Linked DNA regions of Drosophila melanogaster. The protein of the gene in region 1 interacts with the protein of each later gene in a biochemical or structural test. Each region holds a gene or a part of one and is shown in the gene's direction. Other genes may lie near its edges.

Region 1 (3,756 bases):
ACAAAAAGGTTTCACTTACCACACTCGTTTGGCGAATGACAAACACAAAACCCTTTTATACAGTAAATTACTAAAAAAACGAGGGCCTGAGGTTAAAGCATAATAAACAAGGAATACACTCTTCTTGGCTACGAATGTAGGACATTTTAGTTTTATTGGGTAAGATACTTAAACTGATACTTAGTACCCAAAATTGTTTTTACCATTTAATTTTATTGAGTATTAATATCCCTTGCAAAGTGTAGTTCTTATTCAAATTTTTCCGAGTTATCCATATATCCTTAACCATTTCATACCTGTGGTCATTCTGTTTTTCCGAACACCGATATGTAAAACAAGAAAAAAGCCAACTAACGGCCCAGCAGATATGATAACTGCCAGTCGCACTAAACAAAGTTCGTGGCTGGTGTGGGGTTTTGATGGAGAGGGTGTTACAGTTTCCGCTACCCTTTTTATGCGGCTTTGTTTTTGTTCTGGGGAGCAGGCTTCCTGATATTTTGTGGCCAGTCCACATCTTCACATATGTACATACATATCTCCGAATGACAAAAAAGAACAGTGTGTAAGGACAACATGTTGGTTGTTGTTGTTGCATACCCGGTACTTTTCAAGGGGTATGCTGTATTCGTTAAAAACAAGCGTACTCCAAGTTCTTTATTCATCTATTTTTCAGGACATATCCCAAAAATTATGCTACTTAAATATTCAATTGCCTGGTAGTGGGTAGCTTTTCTGTCGCAACACTTGACAGTCTCATTCTTTCTTGTTTTTATTCTTGTGTTATGTGGCCACGTGTGAAAAAATGCGGCTTAAAATGTATTAAAAGTATTCTGTGTGCGTCTGTTTTCCTGCGACTGTGTGTGTGTGCGTACGGGAGAGGGACATTGTCAAGGTATTACGTTACCGTTACACGCACTCCTGCATATGTTAGGATGTCCTGTCTGTGTGTTTGTATGCCGCACATGTTTTCTGTTTGTGTGCTTATTGTTGTTGTGTTGATTAGTAAATGGCTGTTGGTGAGTGTGTTTTGCATTTATACAAGCCCGTGTTTTGACTTCTCTGTTGTTGCTTCTCTTGTTTTTTGGTTTCGTTTTTTTTTTTTAATTTTTTCTTATGTTGGAAAGTGTGTTTCCGTAGAACTTCGCTTCACCTTCCGGCTTCATCTCCGCCCAGCAAAAACCTCTGCAGCTCTCCCAAAAACAAAGCAATACAAAAAGTTAGAATCTGTAAGCTAACGGTATAATTTATGCGCCTGCAATATGGCAACGCTGTCCGGCACACACTCACACACATACGCATATGTACATGAAAAACTTTTGTCCAGGTCCGAAGAACTTTTTTTGCAGCTCATAAGGTCGATACACAAGATGCCATTACCCAAGAGCGAGACAGCGATGGCCAACAGAGAATAGATGGAAGGACAGAGAGAGAGAGAGAGCGAGAGAGCATTTCCCCAGATGCCACAAAAAACAGCTGAGCCAAAGAGAAAGGTATTGCCATCCATTGAATCTAAGATGGCAATGCTAAAGCGCCGGTCTGCGGCTTTTATTTTCGCTCTCTCTCCAAAAGTGAAGTATATTCACAAGGCCACGACAGGCTGTTTGGAGCTAGAAAGAGCGGGGAAGGGAAATTTTCTTTTTCCAATCCTTGGACGAGGACTGAATTTTAGTAACATCTGCCCCACTCAGTTCCGGATCATTTGGATCACCTTCATCCATCGAAACGGATCCGGAATTGTAATTTCAGATTATAGAATTCTTACTTTACTCTTACTCTGTTTACGTGTTGGAATAAAAAATGTTTTTAAAAATTATATTTTTCATTTCTTCATTTTCGAGACAGTCATAGCAAAATAGCTTACCTAAAATGAATTGTTATAAAATATTTTTTTTAATAATAATTTTTTTATAGTCATTCATTAAAAACGTCTACTAAGAAACTACTAAAAGAACAAAACATTTTTTCTCAAATTATCTAGTTTCTTTTTTCGCTCTTGCTCTTTACTTTTTCCATTCGCCGAGACTCGCTCTCAATAGCTTTCTCCATGGCTTTCCGCTACATTCTCCCCGAAAAATTTCCCTAGCATACTTCTCTGCATCGGCATTTCACTCGCGCGTTGGCCGCTCGCCTGTGTGGAAGTGCCGTGCGGATTTCGATTCGAAGATATAACTCCCCGGGCCTTACAAACAAATACATAATTATAGATATATATATACATATACATATATATGTATACAAATATACAAGATTTTGCACAGCTAAACGGCAAATCGAGTTTCTGCGCTGTGAATTAACAAAAGAAAGCGGAAAAATCGAAGTTGTATGTCGGAAAAGGAGTACAAATCAGTGAATAACATAATTCCATATAATTATTTTCTTAAACATTTCCACTCGCTCTTCGGCAAGTCACGAAAATCTTGCGGAAAAAATCAATTGGCCCTGTGCAATATTTTTTGACTGTTCTGCCGAAGTTGTCGTACATTTCTGATTAGTTGCCATACAATTTTCCGCTGAGAGAAGGGGTCGGAAAATGGGGAGGTGGAAAGGCAATGGACGTGGAATGATTAACATAATTTTGTGAATGTTTCTTTAATGAACGTTTTTTAGTGCTGCTAATGAAGTAAAAACTTTATGAAAGAGTTACCCCAGAGATGTGATGGAATTTATGACCGTATCTCGCAAAATCAATATATTTTGAAAGATTATAATTTACCCCTTTATAAAGTATTAATAATAATAATTCATTCTTGTTAAAAAAAAAATTGAATATAAATATGGTTTTTTAGTTTCTATTAATAAAATCCTTGCTTTTATTCACTTTCTTAAAGTATAAAAACGTAAAAAACAAAACGCAGACAAAAACGCAGGTGAAATCCCACACACTAAGCATTTTTCTTTTATATTTTAAATACCTCAGTGCAATACAATTAAAGTTCTAGAACGCTTTAAAAACATACCATTTCCTATGCCTCTATCATTTTGCACTTAGACAAAGGGGAGCAACCACGATAAAAAAATCAAAGAATTGATTTCCATTTTTGTGGGTTCCCTTACACTTTTTCTGCATCACGCTGTTCACTTTTTTCCCAAATTTTTTGGCTGCTGTGCGCCAGACACTGGCAAACAAAACCACACACACTCGCACACTCACACACACTTGCAAACACATATGACGCAAAATGAGGCAGTGTGTGTGTGTGTGTGCGAGTGTGTGATGGTGTGCGAGAATCCCCACCCTAAACTTGACCTCAGGCATTTGCACTTCATCAAGCGCTTCTTGCACCTCGGCGACCGTCTGGTTGCCCAAACTTGGCCCAAACCGACTATACTATATAGACGAGATGGATCCATTTCGTATGCATACATACATATATGTAAGGCATATATGCACATATACTATATATATTTATGTACATATACATATGTATATAATATGAGTCAGTGGGCTAGTAAGAAGCTGCAGGGCGAAACAATTTCTTTTTATTCATTCTTTGCGGAAAGCGTTTTGCTGGCCAAGCTGTCGCCCTGCCATTTAAACTTGTTCGTTTCTTTTTGGCCCGAAGGCTTTCACTCGAACCAGGTGTGTGTGCGTCTCCTTTTGCCAAAGTTAAATCAGCAAATTTCCACTGCTTTTTTGGGTACCCTGGGGTTCTGTTTTTGGTCTGTGTTCCTTTTCTTTTATTTTAGGTTTGCCTATGCAGCCTCTGGCAGATTCGGTACCCAGTTCGCTTGCTAGCTGGCCCCATTATGATTGTT
Region 2 (3,756 bases), on another chromosome or scaffold:
AGTATTTTCAATTTATCGAATTATTTCATTTAACACTTCGTTTATTTATGATATATCTACAAAAAGAATATATATTTTCTTGAACATTAAGGAGAATTTATCAGTTATAACTATACTAATTCTTAGGATTACTCTTAACATTTTAATAATACCTATTTAATTGTTTTTGAAAATTTGTTGGCACCTTCGGATATATTTGTTCGAGTGCATTGTGCGTTTTGGCTGCGTATATGTACATATGAATGTAACCCTTTGCAAACATGTCTATTTTGGTCAATGGCAATGGCAACGCAAGCCATTTGTTAATTGTTGCCACACCCCTGCGGCCGAGAAAATCGAGCCGGGACGGGACCTGAATCTGGGGATCTGGCATATGGGATCTGGGATCTGGATGCCATGGACAGAGAACTGAAGCCGGGGGTCCGGGGCCTTTGGCCGCCTGTCATAATTACGGAACTGGCTGCTCAAGTTGCCGCAGCTGGCACCTAAGACATTGGCCATGGCTAAAGACCTGCATCGTCGCCTGCCTAGTTATTAAATAGATGGATGAATGGATGGATGGATGGGCGATACGGGGCTGCTGGGCGATTCCGATTCCATCGATGCCCGACCACAGATCGGGTTTCAGGTATTAGTCAGTAATTAATCATCCGCCTTGTTATAACGGCCAATTGTGTAATTACAGCATATATGGATATCTAATGCGTTCGATAAAAATGTAAATGCGCATACATACATATATGTACCTACATATATCGTCCTCAATCGGGCGAATTGAGAATTAATGGCCAATAAGCGAAAATGAATCATGCAATTGGCGCCCAATGGCTTCAAGTTCTCGCAAAATGTTGTAAAGCCCTCGGCCCAAAAGCCGAACCTCTCGAGGGCCCACTAAAACCCCGATATAAACAGGGCCCGCAGCCAAGATGTTAAAACACCCACCCACCGCCAACTCTACACACACACACTCGCACACACACACACACATATATGTAGACCGGAAATCGCCGGCGATAAATCTCCCATTTACCTTTAAACTCGAAATACGACTACCAATGGGGATCGAGGGTGAATCGGAGGAAAATGGGTGCGGAAGTTGGGGAAGTTAGGGAAGTTGGGATGTGCGGGAGTGGACACTGTTACGTCCTTAAATCCACTAACAAATAAAGGAATAAATTGCCCATAAAAAGGATTTTGCAAATGCCGGCTGCAACTACGGAACCCACTTGTGTTTCCTATTTTACAGTTATTGTGCACTTCTTTCTAGTTTAGTTGCTTGTACTAAACTTAAAGAATTGCGCGACCGCAAATGCCAACAAGTTTTGTGCGATTCTTGTCCACAGGCAAAAGTCAAAATATTATGATCAAGTCTGTAGCTTCTCTTTTGATGCAAAATATGGCTGGAATTGTTTTTTACTGTGTCTACATAATTTCGATTTATATTCGTGCTTTCTTCTTCTGATTTATTTAATTATCCCATGTGTATTAGCTAATAAATATAACGTTGAACAATTTTGAATTGAAAGAATCACACTGTAGCAAAATACTTGATGAGTTTGGATAAATTTAATTAATTAGAATTTTCTGCACAACGTATAGAAAATTTGTTGAAATCAATCTTTACTTCCATTTGTTTAATTTTTGGAAATTATCATTTGTTGTAAGATCTTTTATAATATTTTCTATCAAAATACAGGTTACATGAAAAACCAAGTGGAAAATTAAGAAAGTAAAATTGAAATGGACGAATTAGCTGTTTTCTAGCCAAGCGGGGAGGTTCGTGTCTTAGCTCAACGAATATCGTGGCTCTGCACCTGATTTGAATTCGACGGTCACACAGAAATACCGAAAACCGACATGTACAATTTGTTGTGTACTTGGTATATTTGTCGTGACCACATCTGGTCACACTGCTCGCATAAGATCAACAACTACTGCGGCCATTCTTACATTCTACTCCTAAAAAAATTCCGAAAGTGCACTTAAATAGCCCAAAATAATAACAAAACATAATAGTGACCGGACGATGCAGCACCGCCAACAAAATAAAGTGTGAAAACAAGTGATTGAATACCCGGAAAGTCGCCTCGCGAAGCGGGAACTAACGTGTTTGGCTGGCCTGTTTTTTCTCTCTCCTCTTTTTCGCCAACCAAAAACCAGGCTAACAGTGATTTTTTCGCGGGGGAGGGGGTGCGACGAGCCAAAACCCGTAGTAAAGAAACCGCCCGAAAGGAGCGCCCACTTTGGCCAGCAACTTTAGCTCAGCTCCCCGAACCAAAAGTGAAGAAAAAAACAAAAAACTAAAAGGAAAACTTAAGTAAAACGGGGGCGTCTATCGCTTGCAAGTGTGTTGGTTAGTCAGTGTACGTGTGTGTTGGCCAGAACAAGTTGGCTGCGCGTGTGTGCGTGTGAGGGGTTTTTTGATGTCTGCGCTGTCTTTTTTCCCCAGCCGAGGTGAGCACACAGGTGAATTATCGGTGCATTCGGCTGCCTTGGCAACAATTCCATAAAAACAACACATAGAAAACAACAATAACGACCACCCGCAATATATAATACATACATACACACGTTTAAAACCAAACAAAATCCAGAAAAATGCTCCGTTTTCTAAGCCGTCGCAAGGTGCGCAACAACTATGTGGATAATTCGAGAGAGGGCGGCGGGGCAACTAGTTCCGCGGTGGGCGTGGCTGGGGGTGGTGGTGCCATCACCTCCGGCGGCAGCTCACAAATAAAGCCACAACGCATCGTGGTCAACAAGAACAAAATCGACTGCCGCGTCATTCTGCTGGACAACACTGACCTTTCCATCGAATTATCGGTGAGTACAGGAGGGCCCACATCGAATTACATTTGGCCCATTTTCGATTTTTTGGCTTTCACCCTTTAAACTGCTGCCGTTGGCAGTAATTTTCGGAAGGCAAACAAACAAGCGATTGGATCTTATAAGAGAATACCGTCAAGGTAGAGATAAAGATAGAGCTAAAGTGGTTGGTAGGGCGGCTCAGTATTACGTACTAAATAAATAATGTCTTAAATTTTACGAATCATCTTTAGCTCTATCCTTTATACGAATTTTAAATTTGAGCTCAGAAATATTATTTATATTAAGAAGTAAGTCAGGGTATTTATTGTCCATTAAATGCACTCTGCTAAGAGAAGTATTGAATTCTCAAAACAGCCCAAAACAATTGTGTAGCAAACGTTTTAACCATTTCATTTATTGGTCCACCCTAATGAAGACACTACCGCAGCTTGCATTGCCTCAGTCCGTGTGATAAAAATAAGCAAATTGCTGCTGATCAGCACATAATTTAACCCGCTAAGCGAACGTGATTAGTTCAGGGTCGCATTGATTTACACCTGCCCCCCGTCGGAAGCATTAATTTTCCACTTTGCTGTTTGCGATTGCAGAAAAAGGCATTGGGCAGCTTTTTGTACGAACAGGTATTCTACGCACTGGACATCATCGAGAAGGATTACTTTGGGCTGCAGTTCATGGATGCCAATCACGTCAAGCACTGGCTAGATCCCACCAAGCCCATCAAGAAGCAGGTCAAAAGTGAGTTAATGTGTGAAACCAATTACGTGGGCCAAACAATACTAATTATTTTACCTTTCCCGCAGTTGGGCCGCCCTACACGTTCCGGCTGAAGGTGAAGTTTTACTCTTCGGAACCCAATACACTGCGCGAAGAGCTGACCCGCTACCTGTTCTTCTTGCAACTGAAACAAGATCTTCTCGAGGGGCGACT

What was found. Proteins that work in one complex are often made in the same cells at the same time.
Region 2: of the proteins of aPKC (region 1) and yrt, one has a biochemical effect on the other in vitro, tested with the Drosophila melanogaster proteins (one study listed by BioGRID).

The regions. Positions count from the first base shown.
Region 1 is NT_033778.4:14,956,808-14,960,563, reverse strand, and holds the start of aPKC (atypical protein kinase C), read left to right. Parts: upstream 1-2,107; 5' UTR 2,108-2,320; intron 2,321-3,756. UniProt on the Drosophila melanogaster protein: Serine/threonine protein kinase which is required for apico-basal cell polarity in the germ line as well as in epithelial and neural precursor cells, for epithelial planar cell polarity and for cell proliferation.
Region 2 is NT_033777.3:13,433,115-13,436,870, reverse strand, and holds the start of yrt (yurt), read left to right. Parts: upstream 1-1,886; 5' UTR 1,887-2,598; coding exon 2,599-2,823; intron 2,824-3,416; coding exon 3,417-3,564; intron 3,565-3,629; coding exon 3,630-3,756.